4 linked regions of the Schizosaccharomyces pombe genome follow. The gene in region 1 interacts genetically with each later gene. Each region holds a gene or a part of one and is shown on either strand. Other genes may lie near its edges.

Region 1 (4,483 bases):
TAATAATCATCTCAAGAGATTGCATTGTATGCTCCAATTCTTTTTTCTGTTCTTCAGAGGTTTGAATTCCCGCGTCACACGCTTTAATTCTTTCTTCAATTGGATTATCGTCGCCATCAACCGTTTTATAACATTCTTCTTGTTTTATTAAACTAGACCGAATGGGATTTAGGCTTTCATGAAATTTAACCCACATGGATGTCACATCCTCTTCAGCATTTATGGGGCGTACCATAATATCCTGTAACTGATATTCTCAAACAACACTTTTCATCATCCAATTTCCTTTGGTAGGTGCTAACTCACTTACTAGATTGATTTGCATGATACTATCAGCTATGCAAATTACTTTATTACAAATTTCATTAACACTCGATATTGTATTTACCGTATCGTTGCTGCATTAGGTTACGTAGTTAACTATTCACTTAAGTCATGGAATACTGTCTGTTAACGAAGTTCGTTAAACGATTCTCGTTTAGCAACGACTCTAAATACTGTATGTCGTATATTTCCTGCTAGAATACATCAATTCCGATTGTTATACTGTTGAAACTACAAATCCCAAAAAATTCAATATCACAATGAAAGCTCTAGTTCGAATCATGTTTTGCTTCAATCCTAGCTAGCACTGTTAAAGTATAGATATAAGAAAGGACAGCTTTGTTGATAGACTAGTTAAATTAAAATAAAAACAGTTAAACGTAATTAATATATATAAGTTTACGTTATTCAAAACATTTCAAAAAATGTGCTACTCTTTGAAGTACACGTCAGTAAGGAAACACGTTGATAAAAAGCCAGTATTCAAACATAGACAGTGTTAAATTATCACTGGAGATGATGATGTATGGAATACATGTCTAAATTTAAGCATCATAGTTAGAACGACAAAATTGATAGAAATTGAATAGCAGTGTAAAACTTGTTGAAGCGCGCACACAAACAGTAACCTGTAACAACAAGTCCTATAATCAAGCTTCTATATTGACTTCAGTAGGCAGCGAGATTTTAAGACACATCTAGGTAAATTTAAAAACGCTTTATTCAAGCTGAACATAATTACCAGGAAATTGACCTTGTGCACCGTTAAGTCGGCCAATCCACCATTCCTAAAATATATATTAGTAAAGTCCTTGTTTAATAAGAAAAAAATGAAAATTTAAGTTTAAGTACTTACATTTTGATTATCAGTACGTGAAACAACTTCGATACGATCGCCAGCATGAAAAGATAAATCTCCGGCTGCTTGGGCAGCATAATCATATAAAGCAACAACATGCTCTGCGGCGGGAGCCGCAGCAGGTGCAGGCGCTGGTGGAGGTACGGGAACTGCGGCTGCAGCTGCTGCTACCGGTGCAGCAACAGGTGTGGTCACTGCCGCAGCAGCAGGTTGAGGCATAACTGGAGGGGGAGGAAAGGCCGCTTGAGGGTATTGAGCAGCTGCTGCTTCAGTTGTAGTAGTGGTCGTCTGAACAGTTTGATAACCTGCACTTGGGGTAGAATAATCGGAAGCTCCGGCAACCGATGGCGTTGAGTATGGGGGTGGAATATCCGTAGCTGTCGAAGAGGAGGGTTCGGCTGCTGCTTCTTCACGCTTTGACGAAAAGGAAGAAGAAGAAGAAGCAGTTGCATCTTTACCACCCGGTCCCATACCCGGTCGTTTATACGTCGGTTTAGCGGTCTTAAATTTAGTAATCGTCAAAGCCTCTGCGCGATCTTTAACATCGCCGCGTCTTCTTTCGTACGATTCCAAAATATCGGTATTGAAATCAAAGTACTGAATTTCGCAGTGACTCATCTTTTCATAAAGAACGTAATAGACATTTAATTGCATATAGTAAAATCCTTGGAATAAGGGAGCAATGAAGCTCTGAGCCAATGCAAATAGTTTAGGTAACTCCTCCTTCAGCATTTCATTATAATATTCATATTCTTGGGAAGATTGTTCAAAGGCGGTTTCAGCTTCATAAAGCTTCTTCTCATCTTTAAGGCTTTTATCCTTCTTTTCCTGAAGTTTCTTGAAAGATGAACGATGACGATCATAATCCAGCTGCTTATGATCGCGTTTCAACAAAAGCTTATCTACATCCTTAACAATCTTGAGCAGTTCACCAGTTGGATTGACAATGCGAGTGTTGATAACATCCATTTCAGAAGCCAAATTCTTTTGGAGATCGTATACAATTTCCTTGTAAGCCTCGGCAGCCTCAATACCTTCCGCATTGCCTTCTTGCTCATACGATTCAGGATCCGAAGCACGCCCACTAATAGGCTTGTAAATTTCAATACAAGCATCGGCAAATCCAATTTGATGATTCAATAACCCATTAATAGCATCAGTATACTTTTTGGCGTCTTCAGCCAGCTTTTTCGCTTCCGTTTCTAAAGACTTAAACCGTCTTCCAGCATCCTCATAAATAGGATCTTTGGTAATCTCTCCAACATTAAACTTGCTGCGTAGAGTCTGCGGCGTACGCGCAAGTGCCTTTGTAAACCCTTTCCAGCTCATCAAGTAATTCTGGTAGTTGGTATGTCTGACCCTTTCAAATTCCCTTAACCATCCTTCTCCGTATTCACGTAGCATACTTCGCAGCAATGCTGATCGTTTCCTGTAATTGTGCCGAATCGCAAATACAGTATACTACGCAACGTCTCGTTATTTTTATTTTTATTTTTATCTAGATGAGGTGAAAACATAGTAAATATAAGGCAAACATTTGATTTTAATTTGCTCGTCTCTATGCTCTTTATTACAGTTTTTATTCGATTGAACAGTGTCTCCGTCGTTTACGATGCAATGATAACATACTGATAATTGCGCAGCTCTACATGTATTGGGTCGAAGCTTAGTTTTGGTTGGTTTCAGATACGCCGCCAACCAAAATTTTTATTAGTCAGATCGCAAAATTTGAACTTAGCAACTGCCAAATTATTTTAAAAAGGACTTGTTTCTTGTTGTTTAGGAAATAAATAAAGAATTAGCAAAATTTCCTCTATTTTGGAAACAACCATGTCCAAAATGGGAAGTTTGATGCTTTCTAGAGCAAGATGCCTTCTTGAACTACGAAGTGCTTTATTTTTTGTCAAGCGAGAGAGTCAGGATATTAATAATGTTAGACAGAGTCTTGGAGTTTACGGTAGGTCGTTTATGACTTCCAGTCGTATGGACAAACCTTCAATGAGCAATAAACCTCGTGAACAAATGTACGGGCTAGGAAACATGACGGCGGTTCAAGAGCCCATACCGGAAAATTCTTTGAAAACAGTAACTTTGGATCAAGCACAAACCGCTGCTAGTACGGTTACGGGATTGCATCCTATATATATGGATTTTCAAGCTACCTCTCCTCTCGACTATCGTGTACTAGATAGTATGCTTCCCTTCTTCACTGGAATTTATGGAAACCCACATAGTCGAACACACGCCTATGGCTGGGAAGCAGAAAAAGCTGTTGAAAATGCACGCCAAGAGATAGCATCTGTAATCAATGCTGATCCAAGAGAAATTATTTTTACATCTGGCGCAACTGAATCAAATAATGCTATTTTGAAAGGTGTTGCCCGATTTTACAAAAGTAGGAAAAAGCATCTTGTTTCCGTTCAAACTGAGCACAAATGCGTTTTGGATTCCTTACGTGCTCTCCAAGAAGAAGGGTTTGAAGTTACTTTTCTACCTGTTCAAACTAATGGCCTTATTAATTTGGATGAATTACGTGACGCCATACGTCCTGATACTGTTTGTGTAAGTGTAATGGCCGTCAATAATGAAATTGGTGTTTGTCAACCACTAGAAGAGATTGGCAAAATTTGTCGACAGAAGAAGGTTTTCTTTCACTCAGATGCTGCTCAAGGATATGGAAAAATTGACATTGACGTCAATCGAATGAACATTGATTTAATGTCTATTTCTGCTCACAAAATTTACGGCCCTAAAGGAATTGGAGCCGCTTATGTTAGAAGACGTCCTCGTGTACGTTTAGAGCCGCTTATTAGTGGTGGAGGTCAGGAACGAGGTTTACGAAGTGGTACTCTTGCTCCATCTCAAGTAGTGGGATTTGGTACTGCGGCCCGTATATGCAAAGAAGAAATGAAGTATGATTATGCACATATTTCCAAACTATCCCAAAGATTAATAGATGGCCTTCTTGCAATCCCATATACATCTTTGAATGGCGACCCTAAATCTAGATATCCAGGTTGTGTCAACATTTCTTTCAATTATGTAGAAGGGGAATCGTTGCTTATGGGTTTGAAAAATATCGCGCTGTCTTCTGGTTCTGCCTGCACATCCGCATCTCTAGAACCGTCTTACGTTTTGCGTGCAATTGGTCAGAGTGATGAAAATGCTCACAGTTCTATTCGTTTTGGTATTGGCCGATTTACAACTGAAGCCGAAATTGATTATGCTATTGAAAATGTGAGTAGACAAGTTTCTTTCTTAAGGAATATGAGCCCGTTATGGGATTTGGTTCAGGAGGGT
Region 2 (4,686 bases), 1.9 Mb from region 1:
TTTATAGAAAGCGTTTCCTATAGCCTTTTGCTTTTCAGCTAGCTCAGCAGGCTCTTGTTGGCTCTCTGTACCTGCATTCATGTGTGTGGTTTCGACTTCAGTCATTTTGATCGAATTAATTTAAATATTTAAAAAATTTAAATTTTATTTAAAATGACAGAAAGTTCAGGAACGCTTTCCAATCGCCGAAGCGTAACAGATCAAAAAGTCAGTGGTAGGTAAATAGATACGACCAAACTATTAAATTTTAGTATCACTAATAAGGAACACTGCTGTAGCTCCTTAAGCATGTCCCCGATATTTGTCCAATTCGTGAAAGTAAGTCTAAAATGTTCTTTGAATAATGTAATTGTGAAAGATAGAATATAAATAAAAAAATGCAAGGAACTCTCACCAAGTTTTTAAACGATAGTTGTGTTTTCTGAAATATCATAGGTATGTTTACCTAAACTACTTAAGTTAAAACTATTTTCTATTTTTGCGACCGTGTATTCTATATGCTAATAAATAGCGGATTCATGACTTAAAAATTTTTATTAGAAATTTGGATAAAAGTAAAAAAAATATTGCAAGTATTTAATAAAATTTATTTATTTATGTTCGAGTAAGACAAGTCATTGTTGTCCTATGCTAAATGTTATTAAAATTATCATGTCTAGTCAATTCATCATGGAGAATAATATCTAATCCAGATGATCTTATTTTGTTAATAAGCTCATTCTCCTTGGGTTTGTTATTTTGCATTACGTCCTTTTTCAATCGAGTAAGATACTCATTAAATCTTTCAACTTCGTCTTCCAAAATTGAGTGTAACCTGAGAGATTGCAATGACTGCAAAGCAAGATCGTACTTAGACTTGTCAATAAGATTTTTAATTACTTTTTCCATTTCTGTCAAAGCATCCTCTAGTCCAAAAGGGTTTTTCAAAACTTCAGTGAAAGTGCCTACTGGGTCTTTTTCACTAACGTGAAGGACTAATAATTTTTCTCCTTCCTGTTCATCGAGACCAGAATTTAGTAGTTCTTCTATTTGTTCCTCTGATATTGGGGCGCCTGTGTCGAAGGCTGTTTCTTGAGAAGAATATTTTGGTTTGACGGGGACGTTCACTGTAAGTTTTTCCTTAATCAACTTCAAGTCCAAAATGCAATTATCAAGTAAACTTTTTGGAGGATTGGTGTAACGTGTTAAGTAAATATTTGGTTGAGGAAGATCGCCTTCTGGTGAATTTGCATAATAACTGATAGCTTGTTGAAGTCTATGTGGTATCATACTAAAGGTATTTTCGGGCTCAAAAGGAGGATTGAACCCACAATCAGAGGAATCTAAATCCATATTATCGATATAATTACTTACGGCAAAATCAATTTGTCGCATATCCTCTTCATTTGACAGTTTCTCGAACTCTGAGAAAGAATAAGGCCGAACATCTTCAGCGAATGGAAGTTGTATATCAACCAAGTAATGTCTTTTAAACTCCACGTAAGGCATCAAGACCAGCAAAACTGGTACGCCCTTATCTTTAGAAACAAACCTTGCGAGCGCATATCGGTGTTCACGTTCAAGGGATTGAACAAAGGCAGAAAAATTTAATTTGCTTTCGAAGTCATCTTTTGGAACGATTATATTAGTATCACTAATGGTATAATAAATTGGAAGACTAGATTTAGGAATAAATCCAAGGATTTCATAACCGGGTATTGTATCTAAAGCCAATACGTCTTCATCTGATCGGCTGATCGGGACGATTGTCCTACCATAACTATAACCGCTTTCCAAGTCTTCTCTTTTAACCTCAAAAGAATCGTTTGTTTTTGGATCACGAACCATGTACGATCGAACAGTAGACACTGCATCAGATTCCATACTTTTGTTTTCCACATTTGAATTTTCGATATTAAGACATTCATAATTTTTAGACATATCGTTTTCATAAAAAGCAGATGATGTTGGCGGTTTAGTTAAACGAGTTCTAGGATATCTTTCAACCTGTATGCTTATAGACGTATCTTTGCTGTCTCTATTACCAATACTAAATGTACCTCTAAAGATTGCGACAGGTCTCACTTTACGAACCCAAGGTTTACCGATGTTGTTATAAATCTGTTGAAATGTGCAGTACTGACCATGACAACTCTCAACAAACTCTTGAATTCGAACTTCGTTTTCCTTTTTCTGAGATTCCTTTAAAGGCTCAGAATAATTAATATCTTCTTGATCAAAATCAACTCCATAAACACCTAGAAAAACATCATGCTGCAGTAGTTGTTCGGCAATTCCAATGTAATCACTAAAGTCGATAATCCCCCTAGCTGCCGTAAGCACTATCATCTTCTTCTTCCATTTGTTCTTTTTACAATGCCGAGCCATCAAATCAAAGGACACAACTATTGCAGATATCAGATCGCCTTGCATAGTATTGCTTGGTTTTAACGTTTGAGAAACGGATTGTAGCTTTGAAAATAAGGCACTAGTTAAGAAGTTAATGGAGCATTTAAGAGAAAGCTTACGTTTGTATAGGATACAAAACACTGATATTCCAATAGGCTTCCTGCTCAGCTAAATCATTTTTCGTATCTAAACACCGTAAAAGTTAGAAGTAGTGTACCTTTAAAACATTACAATAGAATACCATCGCATTTGTAACCAACGATTCCAACTACGTCTGTCTTCCTATTTGCTAAAAACTGAGTATGTGTCAATAGGGTGTCGATAATGTTGAGCAAAATACCTTATGAGACAATTCGTCGTGAAAATACGACAAAGTCCATTCGAGATCAGAATGAGACCTGCCATGGTGACAGGTCCCCATATCTTTGCCCAAGTCAAGTACAAAAACAGTACATTCCTTATCACTCATACGAATTGTTAAGGAATACAGATTTGGTGGAGGTCAAAGCAAGGTGAGATTTGTTGTAGAACATTGGGGCCTCCGATGCTTTCAACAGTTAGATATCAATTACACGGTCATTTTAAATGATTCAGGTATTTTCTTCGCGGTATGAATATACTACATTAACAGTAAGTCCAGCAGCATATGTGCAAATGCACATGTGACTGAAATGTAAATAACCCAAAACATTGTATATAAATTAGTCAATTCATTTTTATAACTTAAATCAGAAACTCTTGAGAATTGAATTGGAGCTATTAAAGTTGCTAAGGTTTTACGCACATTAGAAATTTTGCATAGCGATGCTTTTACTTTCAATTCACACATTAATTTACAAAGCCGTGAACTCATATCTCAAGATGTCAATAATTAGTTAACATTCAGTTTAACTATTCATGTTAGATCTTATTAGTTTTGTACTAGGCGATTAAAACACCGAGCTGCCAGATGCATATCGCTCACAAATCTTTCGTACTACACGCAAATTACCAGAAAACGATACCACCCCCTTGAGGTATAATGTTTAAGGTGATATTTGGTTTTCTGTTGTGAAAAATATATTAAAAAACACACATATGTACTTCAATTATCGAACATACACATTTATACTTTGTTTTAAAACGCCAAAATGGTACGCTTAACTCCTCGATTAGTAGCCATTTTCCTTGTTGAAAAAACAACATCAGGAGCTAATTTCGTCTTTCACTGGCCGCTACAACCTCAAGTACGTCTACAAGCCACTCATCATAATAATGATTCAGCGGAGTCTGCAATCGGGATGCTCGACCTTGATGACAGCGATGATGATGAGAATAATAGGTTTACTGAAGTAGCTGACGATACACATGTACTTGGTTATGAAAAAGGCTTTCTCGCAAATATGCTAAGTCCTCGTATTGAACTTTGCAATCAAAAATTTGAAATTTGGGTGGATGGTCTTACTTTTTTGGGATGTCCTGTTCATATTGGTCCGAACGGTGAGTGGGCTAAACGAAGGAAACCACGAACTACTGTTGAGTCTAATGCTTCTTCGAGCCATTTGGTATCAAAGCCCGAATCTTCACACCCTTCGACAGGAAGTTTTGAAGTAAAATCATCTTCATCAAAATCGAGATCTTCAATGTCTTTATTTCATGTCGTCTTTGTATTAAATGTGCCTACAGCTACCGTATATCGCCCTACTGTAAACACGATGTATGATCATATAGTAGTCAAGTTAGTTACTGGACTTAAATATGAACAAGCAAAACGGAATTATGTTGAAAATGAGTGTATACACATCTTAAAACTGACTGAAAAATATTCAAGCCAAAACGTCCCATTCGATGTGTATGCCGCTCAAATCCCTCATCACTCAAATCTTGCTTCGGTTCTTGCTACTACATATGAGGCTTTAATTAACATGCATACGGCTTATTTAGAGATAAATCAATCGATTAACTTAAGCTTACTCTGGCCTATGTCGGTTTCCACCAACACACTTGAAAATTACGAACTGCAGGTTAGACCATCAACTATTTTAGCATCTCAAACCATCTTCTCTGAAGAACATCCTTCCTCTATTGAACCTTTCGTTGCCCCCTATTGGACTTTGTTGCTCTTAAAGGATACAGACACTATAATGAAACGTGTTCCTCTTTTACAAAATTCTCTTCTTTCTTCTTTCATTGCCATAGTAAAACCTAACTTAACGTAAGTTTTGTCAAGTCTAAACAAAATTTATTATTGCTATTAAATACTAACTTACAATATTTCAGGTTCACAGATATCGCTAATCGTCTAGGAATATCAGTATC
Region 3 (3,655 bases), on another chromosome or scaffold:
TGCAAAAAATGCGTGAGAGGATAGAGTATGAGGAAAGTAATTATACTCGCCTTCCTAAATTATCGAAGAAAGATTTAAAGAAATCTAAACGTGTAAAGAAACACGATTATGGTGGTGAAGACTGGTCATTGCTTGATCGCAAATTCCATGACGATGACTTTTCAAATCGTAAATTAGACCTGACTTCTAGAGCTAAGAGACGTGCTAATTTTGAAGACGTTAACGATGGCTCATTAGCTTCACCTGTTCAAATTGGCCAGTCATATCGTAAAAGAAAGAAGAATTTGAAACGTCGTTAATCATTATTTTGGGAACAGCCGTTGAGGTTTACTTAAAAAAATTGACCATATGTATTTAAAAAAATGGAGTTTTTGCGCTTGGTTTGGTATTTTTGTGTGGTTTAGGGCAGGTTATGTTTAATAAGATCAATATAAATTTTGCATGTACATGTCTGTATATGTGATTAGTCGCACATTAATATAGTTTACAAGTTCTAAACATAAGGAAGAAATCATTCATTCGTAGATGTAAACAAAAAAATCTTAATGATTTACTATAGTTACAATTTTGGCAACTTTGAAGCACTTAAATAGATTTAATGTGAAAGGCGGTTGAAAAAGAAGAGTAAGTTCTAATGAAATAGGGATTATTAAGACAGCTATGTCTTGAAATCAACTTTCCCAGGAGTCTTCTACAGTTTTTCGTACTCGACGCACATACTCCTTCTTGTTTTCACGATGCAGCTGAGCAGCTTCGGCATTTGCAGGGGACGCATTATTTGGATCATTAAGTAAGCTAAAAGTTAGTTATGAGAAATTTAAGTAATATTTCTGAAAAGCAAACCTTTGAATAGAGGTAAGAATTGCTGCCACATCGTAAGTTGGAGACCACCTGTTTTGCAGAATGTCCAAGCAAAGTTCGCCATTTGCGTACACATTTGGATGGAACTAAAGCCAATAAGTAAGTAAACAAAAAAAACCAAGAAAAAAGTAAATTACAACAAATCAAATAATCTAATTTAAGACTTGTCTAAATACAATGACTAAGCATACCATTGTGGAGACGAATTTTACAAGAGGAGGTTTATTAGGATATTGTTCATCAAAAGAAAGAACCAACTTAAAAGTTCCATCTTCAAATGGAGTGTCTGCTGGGCCAATGATAACAGCATTCCTGCTCAAATGGTTAGTCCAACATCAATAATAAAAAACAAAAGCAATCAATCCAGAAACCAACAAGCATAAAAAGATCGCTTCTTGTAAGAATTTTGAAACGATCTCCTTCCTAAATATATGGCAAAAAAGGCATTCAATATATAGCACATATATTCACCATTACGTTGCATAACAATAAGAGAAAAATGAATTGACATAGGTAAACACTTACCAAAGCATTACATTGTCAGAGACAGGGGAAGCTGAAACTCCAGCAGGAGGATCTTGCTGCATCCTCTAAGAATTGGTTAATATAAGTCTTCTCGGATCCACAACTGCCGTACCTTAAAATCTCGCATGAGACGTCTTCTTGCGGTCGTTGACATTTTTATAGCAACCTCTCTTCTATTTGTGATAACTTTAAAAAAAAGTTGCACAAATATCGATATCGCCTTGGAATTACACCGAGTTAGGATATCCGATTTGCGTTGTTGGAGAAGGGCAGGGAACAATAGTAGGACCATTCACTCATATGCAGTATTTCATTATTAATGGGGCGCACCCAACACGTTAAAATAATAAAGTGCACGCTCAGTTACCTTATAACTAGACCAACCTTTTAGTAATGTTCAGCATTTGCAATGCAAGTCTGCTTTAGTATTAATGAACTACTACTTCATTTAAATTATAGTTAAAGATAAGGAAAGTTGATATTTTTCATTCAACCATTAATCATAATCAAGGTCCGTGCATTTGTTAACGGTAAACTGTTGAACATGTGAAAATTATATATATTTACTTTAAGCCTTTGTTCTCATTGGGTTTAAAAAAGCAACTAAAATACATTAGGAAGAAAAAATGAAAGAGCAACAGGATGTAAGAAATAAATTTACATTTTCACTAGCTTAACAATGAGAAAACACAAACAGCCAATTTTTTACGCGTCTGCTACGTGATTGAAATGGTAGTTAGAAATGTATCTGAACTCTTCACCATTAGATATTTACATTGTGCATAAATTTAATTATCCAGAAAAAAATCAGCTTAATACTCTTATTAATTCACTGACTTAAAAATTACTAAGTTTTGTTTGGAGTATTTAAAAATTGCTGCACAAGTTAATCGACAAAGTAAATATAAAAATTCAACTTACCGGTAAATATGTTGACACAAGAGCCGCGATACCCATACTGATCAAATGTTAACATCCATAGAACTACATTAATGCAATGAATTAGGATTACTTACAAAGCCATTGAAGTCGGAGATGAGCTGGGAGACGTATTTGCGTTCAGTAAATTTGAAAAGGTTAGGATAAAAGCAACCCATGCAATTAATCTTCTCGTTAACATGAAAATCCTAAAATATCTTACATACTTGAAACGAAGAAATAAAGCAGCCATACACGTGGCTGTGCTTACCAAACTCAAGCCAACTATAATAGGGTTAGCAAACTTAATAAATTATTTGACGAAAGAAAGGATTTAAAATATTCCACAATGAACTAAAGCTTGAGCGATTAAATCAGCGTAACTCACGATTGGGTTCAATTTGAAAGTGCTTTCTACTTTACCTTCTTCATTTGCTTTGACTCTAGCTTTGTAGGGAACGATTAAATCAGGTCGTTTAAGTTCTGCAGGCGCCATATTTTATGAATTTTCGTTGTCGAGACTTCAGAACTGGTGAATGGGATGGTTCCTCTACAAGAATATAATGAAGTTAGTAATAAAATGTGTAAAATGGTTTTAGGTTAGGTTATTTAGCATTCAAATATATCGTGGGGGTTAAGAGTTCTTATCCCACTAAGAATTTCAACTATTTTAGACTTGGCTAAGCATTAGAATTAAAATCGATTGCAGTACCACGTGGGGGCTTTAGCAAGTCATAGGAGGAAACTGATCCTACTTGGCGAGTGAGAAATGGATTTCTTTTAGCATTCTAAGTCTTCTATATAACAATTTAAAGCTCAAACATAATATAATATTATTTATACTATTTTAAAAATTTAGGAACCAAGCCAGGTGAACTTAAGAAGTTCAAAGAGCATTTAATCGTTAGATGAAATAATAAAAAAAAAAATTACACTCGTTCACTCGTTTTCAATTTTACGAATAGGTTTGGCAGGTGATCCTACAGCCAACGTATTAGGTGGGATGTCTTTTGTAACAACAGCACCCGCTCCAATTACACTGCCTTCCCCGATAGTAACACCTGGGAGAACTATAACTCCCATACCAATCCAAACATTGTCCTGAATCTTGATAAAATTTTGTTTGTTAGTTGTAAGATGTTTCAATAACTGGACTAACGCATACGTTAATTGGTAAACCAAATTCAATTCCGGAGTTCCTTGCTTTAAAATCCAAGGGATGTGTTGCTGTACATAGTTGAACCTGGAAAGACACCATTAGTATATTTATTTTTTGAATGAATGACTTGAAAGTAACTATATATATATATAAACATACATTGGGGCCTAGCATTACATTATTACCAATAGT
Region 4 (3,836 bases), 1.2 Mb from region 1:
CCCAATGAACCAGCCGCAGGCGACTGGAACGAGAGAAGCGGACCACCAATTTTTGGAGATGCTAGTGAATACTTGATAGTTCAAATCCATCACACTTAATAATATCGTTTACTGTTGATTAGCGAAATCGGGAAAAAAAAATTCCACGAATGTAAAGAGTACTAACAACGACTGCTACTAAAAAACCATAAGTATTTCGAATCTTAATGCAGCTCGTTTACAAACAGCAGAGATAATGTCGAGATACAAAAGGTCTTTCAAACCATGCTAAGCAAATAGACATGGAGTAGCTAGAGTTAAGTTTGATAATTAAAACTGACATACATTAAACTAGAAATTTGGAGAAGAGTTGTTGAAACTTCTAATTGAATTGAAGATTAGTAAAATTGGACCATAAAGCTTAACCATCTTTCAATCTTCCATACATTTTAAAAACGGGCACAGTATCGATATGAGAGAAATACGATACTAAACTAAAATAAAAGGAAATACTTAATTGTAGTTTGATCTTGGAAGCTACTCGAATGTATAATTCACCATATTTATAACCTCGTCTATTACGTCACAGAAGGGAAGGAGGAGCGAGGTATTGGGGTATAATACGTGTTCATACTGCGTAAGGTGGTGGTAGATGTGTCTCGCTAAAAAGTGTTTATAAGGAGTTTTCCATAAGATAATATTTTCAGTACAACTAAATTTTTTATATTATTAATATTATATTATAAAATTATGTATATCTATTAGTAGCAGCGCTTGTTTTCTGTAATAGAATATATTTGGGCTGGTCAAATGCGGTTAATTATCATCACACAGATGAGATTTATGGGCAAATTTAGTTATAAAATTAGATAAGACAACAAAGAGAGAAGAAAGGTTTATTTCGGTGCTTTTGTTTCTTACTTTCAGAAGAATCTTTCTCTTGGGCATTATCTGGATGTCTTACTGCCCACAGAACAAACAAACTGTCATTGAATGGCTGAGTTCTTGTTTCAATATCTAATATCGCTATACAATAGCTCTCAAAGTAATGCACCACTACTACAACTTAAGTTCTTCACTTTTTGAGTAAGGATGCAAACTATGAGACCGGGTTTTTTTAGCTCAAATGTCGCTGAAAAGCGTTTTCTTTATAGTTTTATCATGAATGATCTCATATATTGATAAGTAGCAATCGTGTCTTTCCATGTCGAAGCCTCAAAACATTATATCCATATAATGCAAAACCATTTATTCCACCACTTCTAATGAAATTTATAAGTTGGTAAAATGTCCGTATTTCAAATTGCTTCTCCACAATATCTTCCATTTATGAGCAAACGATATTACCTCTATATTGTCAAGTTAAAATGTTTACATTGATATATTATATTAAACTATAACATAACTATATTACCTTATAAGGCGATTTCTGCTGGATGCAGTTAGTGAACAAGAATTATCTGAGGATAGACCTCTAATTGCAGTCAGAGATTTACTACAGATGATTATACAAGAAAAATTTAGATATATTTTTTAAGCGATGTAATTTATTGATAGTGACATGAAAGTAAGCCAACCCTCGAAACCCAAATTTACCACCATTATGCTCTTGCTCTATCAATTAAACACAAAATTAACGACACGCTTTTCATCCTTATCTTTTTATAATTGCATTGTGAAATAAACTATCATTATTCTATTTAACGCAATGATAAACTTCGCAATCAGGCTTTACGTTATGGCTTTGCTTCCGTGAATTGTTCCCTACGCGAATCCTGCTGAATCCACTAAAAGATCCAATGCAGCTTAGCTAGCGAACATTAGCGCAGCGATCAACTGACATAAGATATCTGGGTATGCCGACGCTTCTCTTTTCCATATCACAAAAATGAGTTGGCATGGATTCAAAAAGGCCGTTAACCGAGCGGGTACCTCGGTATGTATTTGAGTGTTGAAGAATTGTCTAACATTGTGGTAGGTTATGATGAAGACGGGTCATGTTGAGCGAACGGTGGATCGGGAATTTGAAACAGAGGAAAGACGTTATAGAACTATGGAATCAGCTGCAAAGAAGCTTCAAAAAGAAGCCAAAGGTTATCTCGATGCTTTGAGAGCCATGACTGCGTCTCAAACTAGAATCGCTAACACAATCGATGCATTTTACGGTGATGCTGGATCGAAGGATGGTGTCAGTGCATACTATCGACAAGTCGTCGAAGACTTGGACGCCGATACCGTAAAAGAGTTGGACGGTCCTTTCCGGACAACGGTGTTGGATCCCATCTCAAGGTTCTGCAGTTACTTTCCCGATATTAATGCCGCTATCACGAAGCGTAATCACAAATTACTTGATCATGATGCTATGAGGGCTAAGGTTCAAAAACTGGTCGACAAGCCTTCCAACGACACTACTAAGCTTCCCCGTACCGAGAAAGAAGCAGCCATGGCGAAGGAGGTCTACGAGACACTCAATAATCAACTGGTCAGTGAGCTTCCGCAACTAATTGCTCTTCGTGTGCCTTATTTGGACCCTAGCTTTGAAGCCCTTGTCAAAATTCAGCTCCGCTTTTGTAGGGAGGGATATGAGAAAATGGCTCAAGTTCAGCAATACTTTGACAACTCTGTACGCGAAGACTATTCCAATGGTTTGTTGGATGATAAAGTTGAACAAGTTTTACAGAGTATGCGGGATCTTTCCATCGCCGGTTTGAACAACAGTCAGTAGACATCGGTTTTTTAAACACGATTGTATGTGTGCATAGCGCTATCACTCTGTTTTCTCTTTCCTTTTCTCCTCCGAAATAATTGTTACTACACGTAACCATGATCTCTTATCCCTCAATACTTTTTGTTTAACATATCCTTTCTCTTTTACTACTTTATTACCATCTTATCTTGTTTATCTGAAGTGGTTCACGGAATGTTTTCAATTTATTCAATTTTTTGTGATACATAAATATTTTCCATACTTATCTATCCTCGAGTATTTTCTATTGGTGTTACTGGAATTGAAGGGAAAGCCAGCACATATTTATTAAAGACTCAACTGTGAAGCTTCTACATCCTTTCAGTTTCGTAACGTTTCCTTTATAATTTTTTAATTGGGAATAGTTATCAAATTATCAGATAAACAAATTGGTTTTCCAATATTGTCTGTCGACCCAGCGATTCATCTACTAAACTGTGCTTATTTTCTATCTCGTACCAAGTTTTGTTCTAATAAATAACTATTGTTAAGTAAGTTTAGACCAAATCTTAAAATATAATAATTAGAAAAAAAAATGCTTTTGTTGACTTACGAATTATTAATTTGAATTGTAATTTATTAATTTTCCAAACAATAGCTATCTTGTAAGCTGTAAGTCAAGTTGGAAGTGGGTTTATTTCTATCTGTGCAGCGTTCGATGTTTGATTTTCGAACATGGACTTAAGCGTTCAATTTTACAATAGCTGTGAATGTAGATTATCGCTACTTTAAAATCTAAAATATAGTATGGAGCTACAACTGCTAGTAACGTCTATACAGGAAATGATATTAACCAAAAATCTTTCTGACTAAGAACATAAATTTAGTAATCTAATTCTGGAACCTCCTGGTTAGGCGCATCCAAATCTTGATAAGTTCTATAGAATTCCCGTCTGTGGATCATGGGTTCTTGCCTCGAATAAGATTTTTGTGATGATGCTCCAGAAGTTATCTCCTCGTCATTTCGTCGACTATAGCTTGTTGTTGGAAATGTATAGTTTGCGTTAATATTTCTGAAACCAACGTAGGGCTTGTTTAAAATCTGTAAGGATACATACGACGTGCTTACCACTTTGGGATCCATAGCCCTACATGGGTCAAGCACATATCC

Evidence for each region.
Region 2: of hob1 (region 1) and pku80, a mutation in one rescues a mutant of the other (synthetic rescue), as found in Schizosaccharomyces pombe (one study listed by BioGRID).
Region 3: of hob1 (region 1) and rhp6, a mutation in one rescues a mutant of the other (synthetic rescue), as found in Schizosaccharomyces pombe (one study listed by BioGRID).
Region 4: of hob1 (region 1) and hob3, changing one suppresses a phenotype caused by changing the other (phenotypic suppression), as found in Schizosaccharomyces pombe (one study listed by BioGRID).

Annotation. Positions count from the first base shown.
Region 1 is NC_003423.3:2,419,747-2,424,229, forward strand, and holds hob1 (BAR adaptor protein Hob1), read right to left. Parts: upstream 2,531-4,483; 5' UTR 2,513-2,530; coding exon 1,181-2,512; intron 1,113-1,180; coding exon 1,044-1,112; 3' UTR 517-1,043; downstream 1-516. Other genes in the region: SAGA complex subunit Sgf29, read right to left, coding at 1-235; cysteine desulfurase Nfs1, read left to right, coding at 3,014-4,483. UniProt on the Schizosaccharomyces pombe protein: Has a role in DNA damage signaling as a part of stress response processes.
Region 2 is NC_003423.3:4,302,511-4,307,196, forward strand, and holds pku80 (Ku domain protein Pku80 ), read right to left. Parts: upstream 2,893-4,686; 5' UTR 2,858-2,892; coding exon 2,729-2,857; intron 2,685-2,728; coding exon 2,630-2,684; intron 2,575-2,629; coding exon 2,508-2,574; intron 2,468-2,507; coding exon 631-2,467; 3' UTR 513-630; downstream 1-512. Other genes in the region: SPOM_SPBC543.02C (TPR domain protein, DNAJC7 family), read right to left, coding at 1-105; Npr2/3 complex subunit Npr3, read left to right, coding at 3,519-4,582, 4,648-4,686. UniProt on the Schizosaccharomyces pombe protein: Single-stranded DNA-dependent ATP-dependent helicase. Involved in non-homologous end joining (NHEJ) DNA double strand break repair. DNA-binding is sequence-independent but has a high affinity to nicks in double-stranded DNA and to the ends of duplex DNA.
Region 3 is NC_003424.3:303,608-307,262, reverse strand, and holds rhp6 (ubiquitin-conjugating enzyme E2 2), read right to left. Parts: upstream 1,658-3,655; 5' UTR 1,541-1,657; coding exon 1,499-1,540; exon of another isoform or gene 1,452-1,498; coding exon 1,387-1,451; exon of another isoform or gene 1,207-1,386; intron 1,174-1,206; coding exon 1,053-1,173; intron 948-1,052; coding exon 844-947; intron 796-843; coding exon 672-795; 3' UTR 501-671; downstream 1-500. Other genes in the region: U3 snoRNP-associated protein Lcp5, read left to right, coding at 1-299; protein pat10, read right to left, coding at 2,234-2,263, 2,308-2,344, 2,403-2,492, 2,532-2,589, 2,728-2,800; SPOM_SPAC18B11.09C (serine O-acetyltransferase activity), read right to left, coding at 3,244-3,411, 3,470-3,547, 3,623-3,655.
Region 4 is NC_003423.3:1,221,228-1,225,063, reverse strand, and holds hob3 (BAR adaptor protein Hob3), read left to right. Parts: upstream 1-1,858; 5' UTR 1,859-1,867; coding exon 1,868-1,915; exon of another isoform or gene 1,916-1,957; coding exon 1,958-2,704; 3' UTR 2,705-3,320; downstream 3,321-3,836. Other genes in the region: tsp0 (tspO-like protein), read right to left, coding at 1-90; pir2 (C2H2-type zinc finger domain-containing protein), read right to left, coding at 3,549-3,836. UniProt on the Schizosaccharomyces pombe protein: Involved in cytokinesis and septation where it has a role in the localization of F-actin.